2 linked regions of the Mytilus edulis genome follow. Each later gene encodes a partner of the first gene's protein in a complex. Links are inferred from orthologs where the notes say so. Each region holds a gene or a part of one and is shown on either strand. Other genes may lie near its edges.

Region 1 (7,391 bases):
TACCCTTTAATTCAAGTTCAATGGGTTTAAAGCATTATAAGCTTCACTATATATTATATTTACACTTATTTTCTGTTAGTGTTAGTATAAAGTTTGTCAGTGGAGGCTTAATATTTCTTTAGTATTGTATTTTCAGATGTTTTCGACAACCTCTGTAATTCTACAACCCTTACGGGACCATGATATAGAGTCTCTGGCAGAATAATGCAAACTTTCCCTTTTCAGTTGTTCCAGTTGAAGTCCAAATACGTCTGTGATTCATCTGGATTATCTGTAGGCTCTATACTATGTATAGGGTAAGTTATTAATAATTCTTCATTTCGGGGTACGGATAGATAACATGTGTTTTAGAATATATATATGTATACACTTCTACATTATTGTCAGGTTCAGAGGGTATTAATAAATGTTTTGAAACGCACCTTTTTATTGTGAATTTATCAAAGTCGTCTTCGGCCCAATGACTGGGATAATTGGAGGAAAAAAACGAATGTCTAGTTCTTATATTATGATACTTTGATGGTTGAGAGATGTTAAATCAAGTTAAGGCACGATTATATAAATTCTGATTTTGAAATGTCGTGTCACTTTACCCTCTGGTATCTTTCGCCCCTCTTTTACGGACATGCATGTCCAAAGTATAAATAGCACGAGAAAAGACATACCTGTATATTTATACTGAGTAACATAAAAAGTTATATTTGTTAAGTGCTGCATAAATACAGTACTGCTTATGTGCAATTTTCAAAACGTTAACGCTGTAAAACTCGTGTGCTCTATTTTTCAATCTAATTAAAATATAGATCTCCCAATATATAGTATAACGCGAGCAGCTATCTATATTTGAATTAGATTGATCTATTTTGTCCTATTTTTATGTGGTTTTTTTTTGTAGGTTTGTATCTTTATTGTTTCTGTACATACTTATCGGAATACTCGTTCAAATATTTATACGTAAAGAATCTGGTAAACGAGTTATACCAAATCATGACTTTTGGGTTGCTGTACCAGTATATATAAAGGTAAAAATAATATGTTGTGTATATTTTTGTGACTTTGTCAACATTGGATATTTTAATCATTCGAAAGAGCATTTTTGAGGGTTTTTTTTCAAATTAAAGCTACTAGTATAAGATAAGATAAGATAAGATAAGATAAGATAAGATAAGATAAGATAAGATAAGATAAGATAAGAATTTTATTAATCTAATCAAGAACCCATAAAGGGCATCATTTTACAACAATATTATGACAATATGATTGAAAAAAGCAAAACAGAAAACTAATGCCATACCATATTGGTGAAAATAACGTATGGGAATTATTTCATGTACGCCTAAATGACGGTTATTAACCAATTTAACTGTGTTTTGCAATTATCTTTGGAACTATTATTTTGAAAGAGAAAAGTAAAGTTCATTTGAAAGATAACTTGAGTATCTACAAGTTATGAAAGTAGTCAATATACTTTCCGTTGGATGTGCTGTCCTAAAAAGAGTTGACCATACAAAATAAAATCTTATTGATCTGGATCAAACTGGTTGCAATCCAATGTGGTATATGACATCGCCATTGCCCCTATACTACTGTTGCTATAAAAATTGATGTTATATAGGTACCCTTCTATGTGAAATTTCCAGGCTCATTGGGGCCCGTTATTGTTTTACGGAAATTAGGCTTCGAGACGGTTTACTTGCTGAATATATACAAAGCTTCTGTATATAAAAAAAGTCAATTCAAACTGTTTCGCTTTTTTAAACTTGACACACTCAGGGCAAAGTTTAAATATTTTCACTGTATGTTGGTAAGAGGGTCATTTTGACCAATAAAGAAATTCATACCAGTAAGAGTTCTGGTCACTTGATAACTCTTCATTTTGAGTTGTATATCCTGTATAACTCATTGATTGAAAACCTTGCGTAGGCTTAGACAATCGTTTTACTCCTGTCACTTACATACGACAGACATAATGTAGTAGCTAATTGCTTCAAACATGTAAGTAATTAAAAAGGTATGATAGGGAATATTTGACCTTATACAAAAGTATTGACCTTATACAAAAGTATAAGTATTTCATATATATAAAAATGTACACCCTATTGTAATTATAGTTCATGAATTTACTGAATTTATACTTTTTTGTAGGATGGTACTCGTTTTGTTATTGGGAGAGGAAAAGTACGAACATACGATGCAATTTAATTTTATCTCGCAGTTTAAATCTATACAGTCATTATAGAATACTCATTTTTATTTTTGTATAACAGTTGTTTGTTCGTATGATAATAATATACATTTGTGTAATTGGTGAAGATGTTCTGCTTTATTCGGAGTTGTCCTTCGTTGATCGAAAAAAAATTCAATGCATATATAAGAGCCACACATGGATAGTTTTATGTCCTCTTATAGTACGTTTGTATTATAGTTATTTGTTTATGGAGATAACTTTTAGGCGTTGTGGAAATAAAGGCGATATTTCTATTATGCATGTTATTTCCGTTATGACTAAAATGGAGAAAAGAAAGTAGACAAAAAGATGAATTTATGGAGAAATGATTCATGTTAAATGTACACCCGTATGGAATCATCAATTAAATGAATGTATACTTGTTGGTTTTAAAGACTTTGTGTTTAACTGAATTTATTCATTTTATTCACGGTAGATTAAGTTTGAGTATATACAATTGATAGAAAAATGAGCAACATGGGTCAATTAAAAAACATGTATCGCATTCAAACGAATGAAATAATATTAAGCTCATGTAATACTACCATGATCCTACCCAGTCTATAAATTAGTGTCGTTTCTAGATTAAAAGTAAATATGGTCAATCAGAACAGTACAAACTAATAACAAGCAGGCATCGAAATTGAAACTAGCTTGTATGTTTCACTGACTACTTTCTTTAAAGACGACTGTAAAAAGATTCTATAGGGGTGCTAAGTCTCTCATCAGTTTGTTCATTTCTGTTGTATAATCATAAAAACAAGGAGATGAGGGTGGGATTGCAAATGAGCCAACTATCAAAATTAATAGCGAACAAAGGACAAGCATGTAAATAATTATGGGTCGACCAACATACGAGCTTCAACAATGAGCAAAAACAAATGCTGTAAACTATGTTATAAATGTCCCCGACATGACAATATCGTGAAAAAAAACAACCAAAAGGCGAAAACCAACTGTCTGATCTTTGGTAACTGCAGCGCTATTTTAGTATAAAATATTTTTTTGAAGCCATCAAATTACATATTACATCAAACTTGACTGATTTAATTCCAGTTTACAAATTTCAAAACTCCGTAGATGGTAGAATTCCACAATTCACTATTCACTCATGATTATTTTTGCAATAACTTACGTAATATAATGTTCAAACTTCAATAATACATAAAATTTTGTTTTTTAATCCTCCGTGTTAAAAAAAAACCCAATAAAAATCTTATATATATAGATATTTATCTAGCTGACACTTGTTTATATTAATGTAAAGGTATTTGGTGTTCACATTTTTTTCAATCGACTGCATCTCCAAAGTGATTGATATTAGCAGATCTGTCAAAATAAAAATAGTTAATTGTTATAAAAATACGTAATCATCTTACGAAGTTTTCAACAATCCTTTAATATCTTCCCGACGGCGTTAAATTTACACGAATTACTATTTTACAAACTTCCTTTTAACTACATAAAACACTCTTTCTGTTTTAATCTCTGTTCAGTGTACTTTAAAGGAGAATCAAATAAAACATACAAATTTCAAAAGTATGTTTTTTTTTTTATTTTACACTGAGTTTAATATTGTTTAAGTAAATGTTTAAGAATCGTAATATAAATACTTTTCTTTGTCAAACAGTGACAAAAGAAAAATGATAGCTCTGTAAATTTGACCAGAGAAAAACAAAAGTGAACAAAAAAACATTAAATCAATCAGTTAAATGTGTTGTGTCAATCCTTGTTGTGCCTTTCCAAAATGTCCATAATATATGTCTTATGTCTGTTATTAGGTTGGGTAACATTCAATTAATTATATTGGTCAACCATCTTCATAAATCTTTTTAAATCTAGGTCAAACGTGCAATTTACTGCTGGTCATTTACAAGGAGACGGAATCTCACATCAAATATAAAACTTCCTCTCACAAACTAATTCAAACAACAGCGGGAGCTTTTTTTTTTAATGATTTTATGAATGAGTCAGGCCAATTTCTATATTAGGATCTTTACACACACGGGGCAATAAACTCGTCCGACGTGCATCACTTTAACCTGATCACCCCCTGAAGGCAGTAATGGATCACTCTTACAAATGCCAATATCTTACATACACATACGATACCGTAGGAAGTTGTTGTTTAGTGTGTAGAAAACGATGAAATTATTATATGTGTGAAATTAAATACTTCTTCTTACAAAACAACTTTGGATAAAGTGATCACTTGGTTTTATAAATATGAGATTAACTAGTTATTTATTTCGTTTTAAAATGGATAAGGTATTTTTCTCAAAGTGTAGTTGCGGAAAAAATAGTTTTTTCGATGTTTCTGTGATAGTTTTGTTTGTGTGTATTTTTGGATATGCAATTCCTATAACTAGTGCCTTTAATTTGGATATAAAGAACGCTATAATTCAAAGAGGTGAAACTGGGAGTATGTTCGGATTCTCAGTAGCTCAACATCTCGACCAAAACACAGGATGGTAAGTTTTCACAAATTCTTTAAAGTTCACAAAGAAAAGTGTTGCCACAGTTACGAGAATAATCAATTACTAACTGAAGAGATGATATTTGTAGATGGTATTTCTAATGAAATATACATTGAAAATATTGTAATTACAAATAAAACTTGCAAGGTAAACTAATATGGATCGTAAGAGGTTGCTGCAATCATGTTCTTATCTAGTTTTATGTACTATACATGTAGTATGAACATTTTTGTTCAATCAGTACATAACTATAATCTGACGGGAAGACGAGGTTAAACGCTACACATGTTTTGTGTTTATTATTTTACAATTATCTTTTATCTCATCAAACATGTGTTATCTATGTGATGTAAACTTGGCTTAAAAAATCCTATGGTGAATCCCTAAGCGATCAGCAGGTGATCGGATTAATAGATCATTAATTGACTCTGGATAATATATATTCACGGATGACATCTACATGCTTTTGGTGTACTTAGGACCCCATTCTTCAATTTCTTTCAACCATTTACTTAATTGAAAAATTCAACTTCAAATGACACAGCATCTCTATTCACTTCGTTGTCATGTATCGTCTAATCTTGTTTTATAAATCTTACATATACAAACAAATGTACACGATTTTATATCAATGAAAAATAATCGTCAAAAACGTGTTAGCTAGATATTTACATTAATTTAGCCACGCTTATTTAAACAAAATAAACATCAAACTCTTTATAAAGGTCGATATATGTCTGTTTTGATTTTGTTATGTTTAACAGTTTCTTTTCTACGACGTGATACACGATAGCCTCCAGATATTGTCCATGCATAGATAAGTAATGATTGTAACCTATCAGTTATTGATGGATGAATAATTAAAGTAATGCTTCAATCTAAACTTTTAACCGAATGACCGTCTGGATACATTTTTTGTACATACATCAACATGATGTAAAATATGGATCATAGGCTTTTGCATTCCCCAAAATACTCTTTATTGCGGTGATGTAGTTGAAAAATAAGATCAGTTGAGTTCTACACTACCATCGTTGACCATAAGGCATAAATGTCAGTGTTGTTATTTTATGACTCTCTTAAAAGAACACTTTTAGGTTAAAAATTAGTGTATTTTTTCTTTTTTTGCATGGTAGTGTGGTGGCTATGATTTTGCATTATAATTGTTTAAAACTATTAAGTAAAGTTGATCACGTTTGTGAAATGAACTTGACAGGCTCGAGGAAGTTAAGTGATTATGTGATCCCTCCCATGATTATTTATTATCTAATCCAAACTAATTTATGACGACGTTGACTGCAGGCGCTCGACAGGACATTTTGACCTCCATGGGATAATTTGTCCGGAAACAGAACTATATTAGTAAACGCCCAAGCGTTATCTTGGGGATTTGACAGTCACCTAGGGAATAAACATGCACTAAAATTATCATATTTTAAAAATTTCTTCCATTCTGACATCGCTTCAGATACACATTTACGCATAATCTTACACATGGTTACCACATTTAAAATGAAGTCAACATCAGAACGAAACTAAAAAAATCCTTTGAACCATTATTTCAAAAAAAGATCTGACAATTTTTTTCATATACATATATGTCGTGTTTAAAGTACACAAGGTTTAACACTCAAGTGCATTAAAGATGTTTCACATGGCTTGTACCGTCAGAAAGCAGGTAATTTGAAATGAGTTAAGATCTTTTCCTGGAAAAAGTTGAAATTTTAAATAAAGTTCAGTCTGAGAACACAGTAATAAGATAAACATTACGTGTATTGATGAACTGGTAAACGCAATTACGTCAAATTTGATGGATGGATCTCCGGGTCGTGTTTACATGTCATACTAGAATATGGTGGATGCCAATCTTAATTACCAGATATAATTCGATAATATAAGTAACCACAGTACAATACTTTAACAATCCTTGTTGTATGGTTGTGTGGTTTATGGTCACCAAAAGATGATATATGGTCAATAAGTAAGTTACCAATGATCAGGTCTCTGATGTTTTTGTATCTTGCCTAGACTTGCTACATGTCCCTTCCTAATTATTATTATTTTTTCAATTTTGCCCCTTTAATAATTTTACTGCTATAACTAGGAGATTACAATTATACTGACATCTGCAGGAGGAAGGGACTTGTAAAGTTTGTCTGAGGCTTGACCAAACTGTTAATCTTAGAGTAATTAAGATTGACATTTATTGATAAGAATTTCAGATAACAGTTGGGAAGTGAAACTTGATATTCCAGTGTTGTGCAAATACTGTTTATTTATTTTCATTTTATAACTTACTAGAAAGATAAGGTCACTGAACTTATACATATGATCAAACATCACATCATTGTCAGAGTTTCTGTTGTGTCTAATGGCCGAAAGTTCTACTCCAAAAAAGTTTTTTAGATTTATAAAATTTACTCCAACAACTAAAAAAACTCTTTGTGTAATTTGTGGAAACAGAATTGAAAAATGTGATTACAGGAGAAAATTATTTCATGGCAGCATCAAATCTGAATACTGTATTCTTATTGAAAAATATCTGGAAATAAATATTACAGAAGAGACACATGCAGATACTGCATGTAGAAAATGTGTTAGAGAATTGCAAAAAATTGACAGTCTTTTCACAACATTTAAATCGTCATATCAGAATACTTTGGCAAAACTACGTGAAACACATGGAC
Region 2 (8,068 bases), on another chromosome or scaffold:
TAGCTAGATTATACAATAACTGACAGTGACACAATGACAGCATATTTTGCATTTTCAGTACAGATGGGTATGTTGTATAATATTTCGGTATATATTTCTTCCGAAGTTCAGTAATAGAACTATTATTACATACATATAAATAATGATATTCATCACCAATACATGATTCATTACATAAGGTACATATGCGATCTGTTCTAGCGATGTTGTACCATCTGCCAGTTTCCATAGGAATTTTTAGGTTACATGTTCTCAGTTTTGAAATCCAGATACTTTTATCCTCTGGAAGACGTAATAGATAATTTTCCAGACCAAACTGAGATTTAAATAACTTATATTATTACATTGGTTGCAATGAATTACATTGATTTCTCAGTTAATAGATAAAACCGATAATTTCACATGTGAAATAAACGTGGTTATTTCACTCTCTGACGTCATACAACAATAGGCGTTGTCAAGACGTCGATAAGGTCGGATCAAAACAAATTGTCAATGCGTAGGAAAAAGATATAGTTCCTTACATTTTCTACATTAATTTCATAAAAAAAAAGCCATTTGCCAATGTAATAAAAAGAATAACTAATCGCCATATTTGAATATCAAAAATAAGACAACTTGTGACCGAACACCGCTATGGATTAAACTCGTGCTGCGCACTCGTTTAATCCATGCGTCGTTCGGTCACGCGTTGTCTTATTTTTGATATTCAAATACGGCGATTAGTTATACTATAAATATTCGCCACGAGACGAGTTATCAATATTACTGGACCACTTTTGAAGAAACTGATCTTGAAGAATCTGTTTTATAACGGGTTTGAAAGTTGAATAATCAATGTATTGGTTGAAAAACATATAACCTAATCCTGAGTTGTCAAATATAGATTTTACAAATGACACCCATTTAAATTCACAAATACCATCAGCATGTAATTTGAAAATAAGCTTATACATAGAACTACTAAGTTTCTTTTCATTTTTAGCCATTCTACTCCAAAACGATAACATTCTTAATTTTACTTTAATTTCTAGTGGAAACCTTCCTAATTCTCCATATATAACATTTGGAGTACTTGATCTCACATTTAAAATTCTCTTGCAAAATTGTAGATGAACTTTTTCAATTATATCAATGTTTTCAAATCCCCATATTTCTGATCCATACAATAAAATAGGTTCGACAAGATAATCAAACAATTTAAGTTGTAGGTCAATAGGTAAATGTAAATTTCTAATCTTTGTATAAACAGCAAAAAGTGCTTTTTGCGACTGTTCTACAAGCTTTTTCTTTGCACAAACAAATGACCCATTATAATTAAGCAAAAGACCAAGATATGTATAGCTATCTACAATTTCAAGAGATGTACCATCAAGTTTAAAATCAAAATCCATTTTCGATTTTCTTTTGCTAAAAACCATCACTTTAGTTTTACCAATATTCACACTAAGTTTCCACATTTTACAATAGTTTTCAAAAACTTTGAGAGCATTTTGCATTTCATCATAATTATCAGCAAAAATAACAGTGTCATCTGCATACAACAAAACAAAAATTTCTAAAAATACATGTAATTCATTATAACATTTTTCTTTAATTAATTCTAAAGGTAAAACATGAAGTTCTCTAAAGTAATCTTCTAAGTCATTTAAGAATATGGAAAACAAAAAAGGGGAAAGATTTTCACCCTGACGAACTCCAATCATACAAGGGAAGAAATCTGATCAAATAAGATGTTTGTAAATTCCTTAACAGCATGATTTAAGTTATTTGTATTGGTAATGTTATTCACTAAAGACAATAAATTATTTTGTTCTTGTTGTATGATATCTATATATTCATTAGATCTTTTTATATCCCACTTTATGTAATTGCGAATCTTTGGAAACGATAACTCCGGTCTGAAATTTCGGAATTCAAGTTCAAATAATAATGGTGCGTGATCAGAAAATTCGTTGAAATTCAGCACATCAAAATTCTTAATAAGTTTATAATCGCTAGGTGAAATAAGTAGGTAGTCGTTGACACTCCTTCCATTCATTGTACAGAATGTAAATTTTCCAACACGATTTCCGAGTCTTCCATTAGCAATAGTAAGTTCAGTATTATAACATAACTGTAAAAGTTTTCGACCAAATGCGTTAACGGTTTTGTCTACGGAGTGCCTTTTCGGAACAATCGAGGTTTCCACGTGGTCTACACTTTCTAAATACAGATCTAAGTTATCATTTGATAAAACATCATCAATTTCACCAATACGACTATTTAGGTCGCCACACACTAAAAATGAACCTTTTTCTTTATACTCTAAACAAACACGTTCTATAATATCATAAAAATCAACATCACATTTGTTATAAAAAATTGATTTTTCATGTGGAATATAAGAAAAACATATGTAGATATCATTTGCAGTATTAAAAAATTCATGATTCAGTTTAATTATAACAATGCCACAGTCTATCTCTCTATCTATAGAAATACCATCTGATAACTTTGTTTTACAAAAAATAGCTAATCCACCTTCACTTCGAGTACCAATTTTAACATTTCTATTTAAACATATAAGTTTCACAAAACCTTCTATTTCTATAATATTTTTCTCTTGTAACCAAGTTTCACATAAAAACAAAATTTCGTAAGTATTTACAAAATTCAAAAAACCATTGTCTTCATAACAAGAATTTAAACCATGTACATTCCAACTTAAACATTTTAAATTGTTCAATTGTTCCCTGTGCTGCCCCTATGGGACATGTATACTCTTTACCACCCACAAAAAGTTTGTCCTTCACAAAATATGCCTTGATATCCCTGGAGCGCAGTTCCTTCAGTAGTGGTAATTTTTCTTTTCTACGTTTTTGTATTTCTAATGGTAATTGTTCAGAAATTCCAAAAGGTGAATCTTTCAAATTCTTTGAACTTTTCTTTACAAGATCCCGCATCTCAAAATTTGCAAACTTTACCAGGATTGGTCTCTTTTTTTCAGCTTTTTTTCCCAATCTGAACGAATCAAGTATTGTAATTTTATCTGCAGGGTTTTCAATTTTTAAGTATTACCACAAAATTCCAAAACCACATTGCTCTCTGAAAGTTTGTTAGTATAGGTATAGTAAATACAATAAGAATTAGACATATAAATGAATTACACAGATAACAAATTTATTTGGCTTATGAGTAATGAACATGCCAATGTATGTAGAAATATATCTAGATTTCTAAGTTTGAGTATATTTTACAAAACTGATTTGTTGTATGGATATGGTAACTTAATAGAGTATTTACATAAGAACAGGGTTGTCTCCCTTGATATTTATCATACCATATAATATAATATTTCCTTTTTTATGTGTGTATTAGATCTCTTTGTCAGCTATAACTCTTTCTCAATATTTATGTACATATGCATTTATATTGTTCATTTTATGCTCTTTGTGAGTTTTCTTGAATAAAATAATTTAATTTGAATTTATAAAATATGATGAACCAATATTAAAAGAATATAATCTGTTAAATCAAGGATTTGTATTGTAATTTGTTACTATACAAATCATTGGTTAAATCGGTTATTTCATTTGCACAATATGACTTTTTTTCGGAAAAGGTATCGCACTGCTGACGGACGATAGTTTTCTTTTTTACACTACCTAGAAAATTTTTTTTTTTGTTAATTACTCCTGCCTATGTTTATACTCGTGCTTTTGCCTTGACAATAACATTCATTTTTGCATGTTATCTCAGATATGACTCAGAATTCTATATTTGATATGTATATGTTTTGTATGTTTTATATGTGCTATGTGTGTTTTAAATGTGCTATGTATGCTTTAAGTGTGCTATGACAATGACCATTTATATCTGCATGATTTCAGTCTTATAGATGATGACAAAATGCCTTTGAGTTTAAAATGTGCTTTATGTGTTTTATATATGTCTTATATATTTCGTAAGTAACATTAGATATTACTGAATGACGCAATCATTGTTATGTTAATTGTTTGTTGACATCTACTGAAATAAAATTTGTAAACCCTATGTTTTCTTATTAAATAGTATTACATTGTACAGATAAATCACACCAAGACTCCACCATACATAGTATGATCAGAAACCAGAAAAAAAACTACAATTCACTGAACATTCTTATAATAACACAAGCTTAGTAATCAAACAAAAAACAAAACAAAAAACAACTGAAGTTCAGTTATAGACAAGACAAGATATATTTAGTTTGATATTTAATTTCCAATAACAACAACAACCAACATTATACTAATATTCTTCTAGTAGTCCGAGTTTGGTATAGTCCGAGTTTGTTATAGTCCGATTTTGGGAGGCCGATTATGTTATAGGCCGAGTTTGTTATAGTCCGATTTTGTTATAGGCCGAGATATCATGGATTCGAAAATATGATAACCGAAAAGAAGAAACACTCATGGATGTACATTGGTTACATGGGATACTATCACAGAATAACTTGATTTACTCATCTAACCAGTTGTACTCATCTTTATTTTTTTATTTAATAGATTAATCTAACAAAATTTACCGTTTTACTTGTATACAGTTAACATCGACTGATTTGTTTTGAGGTTCGTTGTGCAATATTTACTTGGTTTTCAGATACACTTTCTATAATCTGGAGGCCAGTTTTGGGATGGGAAGATCCACATAAATGAGCGTTTTTTCTTAAAAAGTTCAACAAGAATTGGCTGAAAATTAGCATGGACACGTATTTAAAGGCATTATGTGTGATCGATAAATAACTTGATTTGTATTATTTTGTAGAACTATCGGCTATCGTATCTAAACCAAGCCCGGTTGGAGTTAGGGGCTTGGCCACTGTAGTTTGTTTACATTGACTTTACTGCTTTTTAAAACATTTGTCCTTCAATCGAGATAAACAGTCAAACAATATTTTAGTATGGAAGATATTTTTACTCAGGTGCGAGAAGGAAATGCATTTCACGTGCGAGTTTGGCTTGATAACACAGAAAACGATCTGAATCAGGGGTAAGGAAATATTGCATGTTTCAGGATCATTTACAGCTTTCTACTATTAATAACATTTCAATTTACATATTGTCTATGAAAACTGGAAAATCTATATATTTGCAACCAATTTCAGTTTTAAAATATGTATATTTTTGAAATGGTATGAAAATGCCCCTTTAGGTCCCCCCATTTGTGATTCAGATTCCCACTGATGTTGATTGGGTTATGCAAATTCCTTACAAGGATATGGTTAACACAGGGGTTCATGTAGGGGATGCTTTAAAACAACAACTATAAACTTTAATCATGAATTATTTTAAAAACTTTAAGTGGTTTATACCTTAGTCTCTGTAAACATTTAGATTTCAATAATACAATATTGTTTTAAGTAATATTTTAAACTGATTTTTATAATTTTAAATATCATTTTATGCTTCCTTTGGGGAGTTATTTTGTAAATTGACTGTTATGAATGAGCAGTAGTATTTCTACTATCTCACTTATGACAGAAGTTATCAGTATATCCTCTCATTACACAAGAATGTTAGTGTGAGGAAATATGCATCTGTTTACAACCACTTGCTGTATGGAATTTTGATGATATAATTTAAAGTGTGAAATAAAGAGGCTTATTATTTTTTTAAGGTTAAATGTTATCATGTTATAGCATTTTTATTTGTTTAGCCAGTCAATCAATTAACTATAATAATTCATGAAAAAAAGCTCGGCAATACAATTAAATAAAAAAACAGGAGTTTGATAATTTTTTTATTTTTGAATTGGTTTAATACATTTTGTACTTTATATTTCATTTACATGTATATTGTACATGTATTCTTACAAAAAATGTAATTCCATAACTTAAAATGTGATAAATAATATCTGTAATAGGACTACACCACATTAATGTCTTGTTTGATGCAGTACCAAATTTTTCAATTCCTTTATTTTCTTGAATGAAGACTTTTTTATAGTCTTTATAACTGACAGAAAACAAAGTTTAAACATTAATTAAAATATGTTATATGCTGTCTGCGCTTGCACGTACGTCCCAAGTAAATAAGTGACGTTATCCAATCAAAATGAACATTACAAGCGTTGTAGCATTAGAATGACTAATAAAATGTACTAAACTATGCATTAATTAATATTTTATCGATATTCATCAGTTTATCTTCATTAGTGAAATTTACCAATAAATTGGTTTCTGCAATATTTGAATGAAATTAAGATAATTATAATTCAGCTGTATTTGTGAATCATGTTCAAATACCTATTACGGACTAGGGGAATAGCTCTGGTAGCATGGATGTAAGCGATTACATACAGACACATAAAAACACATCAGCTTCCATTTCTACATTTTAATCAGACAAAGATGACGTCACAAACATAAATACTAAATACTGGCAAAAGGGGAACAACTCTCTTTTACACACAGAAACATAATCCGACCATATATACTGATATATAACGTACCGGTTTGACTTGGTCGCACAGTGTACAATGATAGAAAGCAGCTACTGATAAGCTTTGTATTAATAATGGACATTTTAATGAAGCCAATGGACATGATCATGATGATAGACCCTATTCTTCAGTTCAAAATTTTACTGACTAGCTTATGCAGGTCAGCTGGATCCTTGCAATTAAAATATAAGCTCATTTATAGTTTTATCTTAACAAGTTATCCTGTTATCTTGGTTTTTCTTAACCTTTCAAGTTGTTTTGAAATGAAGATAAAAGTCAAGACTACATAACATGTATAAAATAAACTTTAAAGTTTCTTTAAATTTTTTTTTTCTAAAATTGGCTTCTCATTTGCGAAGCAAGAAAAGAAAATTTTGCATGTTCATGTTTTGAATTGTGCATGTTACATGTATAAAGCTGTATTGTTAATTCACAACTTTTGCATTGTTTTTATAAGTCTTTTGTATTAAAGTGGGGAAAATAGCAACAGGAAAGGCGTCATTAAAAAAATATGACAACCTTTCATGTCAAACTTCAATAATATTATAATATTTTATTTATCATGTTTTAATGTTAATGTAGCATTTCCTGAAATTGTGTACTAATCTAAGGAAATGATGCATACATGTAATTTAGGTTAAGAGAAGAAATAAGTTGAAATTATGATCACTATTGTTTATCCAACACTGTACCCATACCTCTCTTAAAACATTTGCATACAATGTTATACATAACAGGCTATTATTTGAACTTGGAATTATTTTTAATTATGGAATTTGCTTAAATTCTTGTTATTGAAATTCTTAATAAATTCCATGTATATTTTGTACTATAATGTTCTGTGCTGCGCACAACACTTTCTATTACAAAGAAAATAGTATATTTTCACAAGAATGTACTGTGCCGCGCACAACACTATCTAACCAAAATACATTGTATGGAAAATGCTATGAACCGCTCAAAACATCATAAAACCAAATAAACATGGAATTTATTAAAAAATTTAAACACGAGAAATTATGCAAATTCTATGATAAAAATAATTCCAAGTTCAAATAATAGCCTGTTACATGTATAATAATTATGAAACCATTTATATATCCATATTGTGCCTGTAGTGTCAATGTGAATAATTTGTTCTTGTAGTTTCTGATTATACATAAAAGAGATATTGTTTTCTCTAATTTTGTGCAATTTTCAAAATTTATCTTGATTGTCTGTTCTAAGCAAATGATAGAATGAAATTTAATTGTGAGGTCATGAAAAAAGACAACAATATCTGATGACGTCACATAAAAAGTACACAACTTTCTACAAATCTTTTAAAAAGGAAGGATAAAGATCATGAGAGAAAAAGATTTCACCACTATAACTTGTGTATTGCAATATTTCTCCACTCTTAACAACAGTCAAATCAGTACATGTATAATATGAAATTCAATAGAAAATATATTTTAGAGGTTTACTAATGCTCAAATGCTATATCAACACATGCTGCACAATTCACCAATGTAATTATTTTTATATAAATCCATGCAAATTAGGGAAATTATGAAAAGTGGCCCTGACATAGTAATTATCAATACATTGTAGTTCGATTGGT

Evidence for each region.
Region 2: integrin alpha-8-like (region 1) and scaffold protein ILK-like share a complex: the UniProt entries of both Caenorhabditis elegans proteins name them as parts of the integrin containing attachment complex. The link is inferred for Mytilus edulis from reciprocal best matches to the Caenorhabditis elegans genes pat-2 and pat-4.

What each region holds. Positions count from the first base shown.
Region 1 is NC_092345.1:85,189,517-85,196,907, reverse strand, and holds the start of integrin alpha-8-like, read left to right. Parts: upstream 1-4,167; 5' UTR 4,168-4,453; coding exon 4,454-4,698; intron 4,699-7,391. Other genes in the region: uncharacterized protein, read left to right, coding at 226-296, 896-1,022, 2,146-2,202. UniProt on the Caenorhabditis elegans protein: Required for muscle development probably through the regulation of the actin-myosin cytoskeleton. Component of an integrin containing attachment complex, which is required for muscle maintenance.
Region 2 is NC_092351.1:71,741,356-71,749,423, forward strand, and holds the start of scaffold protein ILK-like, read left to right. Parts: upstream 1-4,776; 5' UTR 4,777-4,924; coding exon 4,925-5,013; intron 5,014-8,068. UniProt on the Caenorhabditis elegans protein: Probable pseudokinase that acts as an adapter protein. Component of an integrin containing attachment complex, which is required for muscle development and maintenance.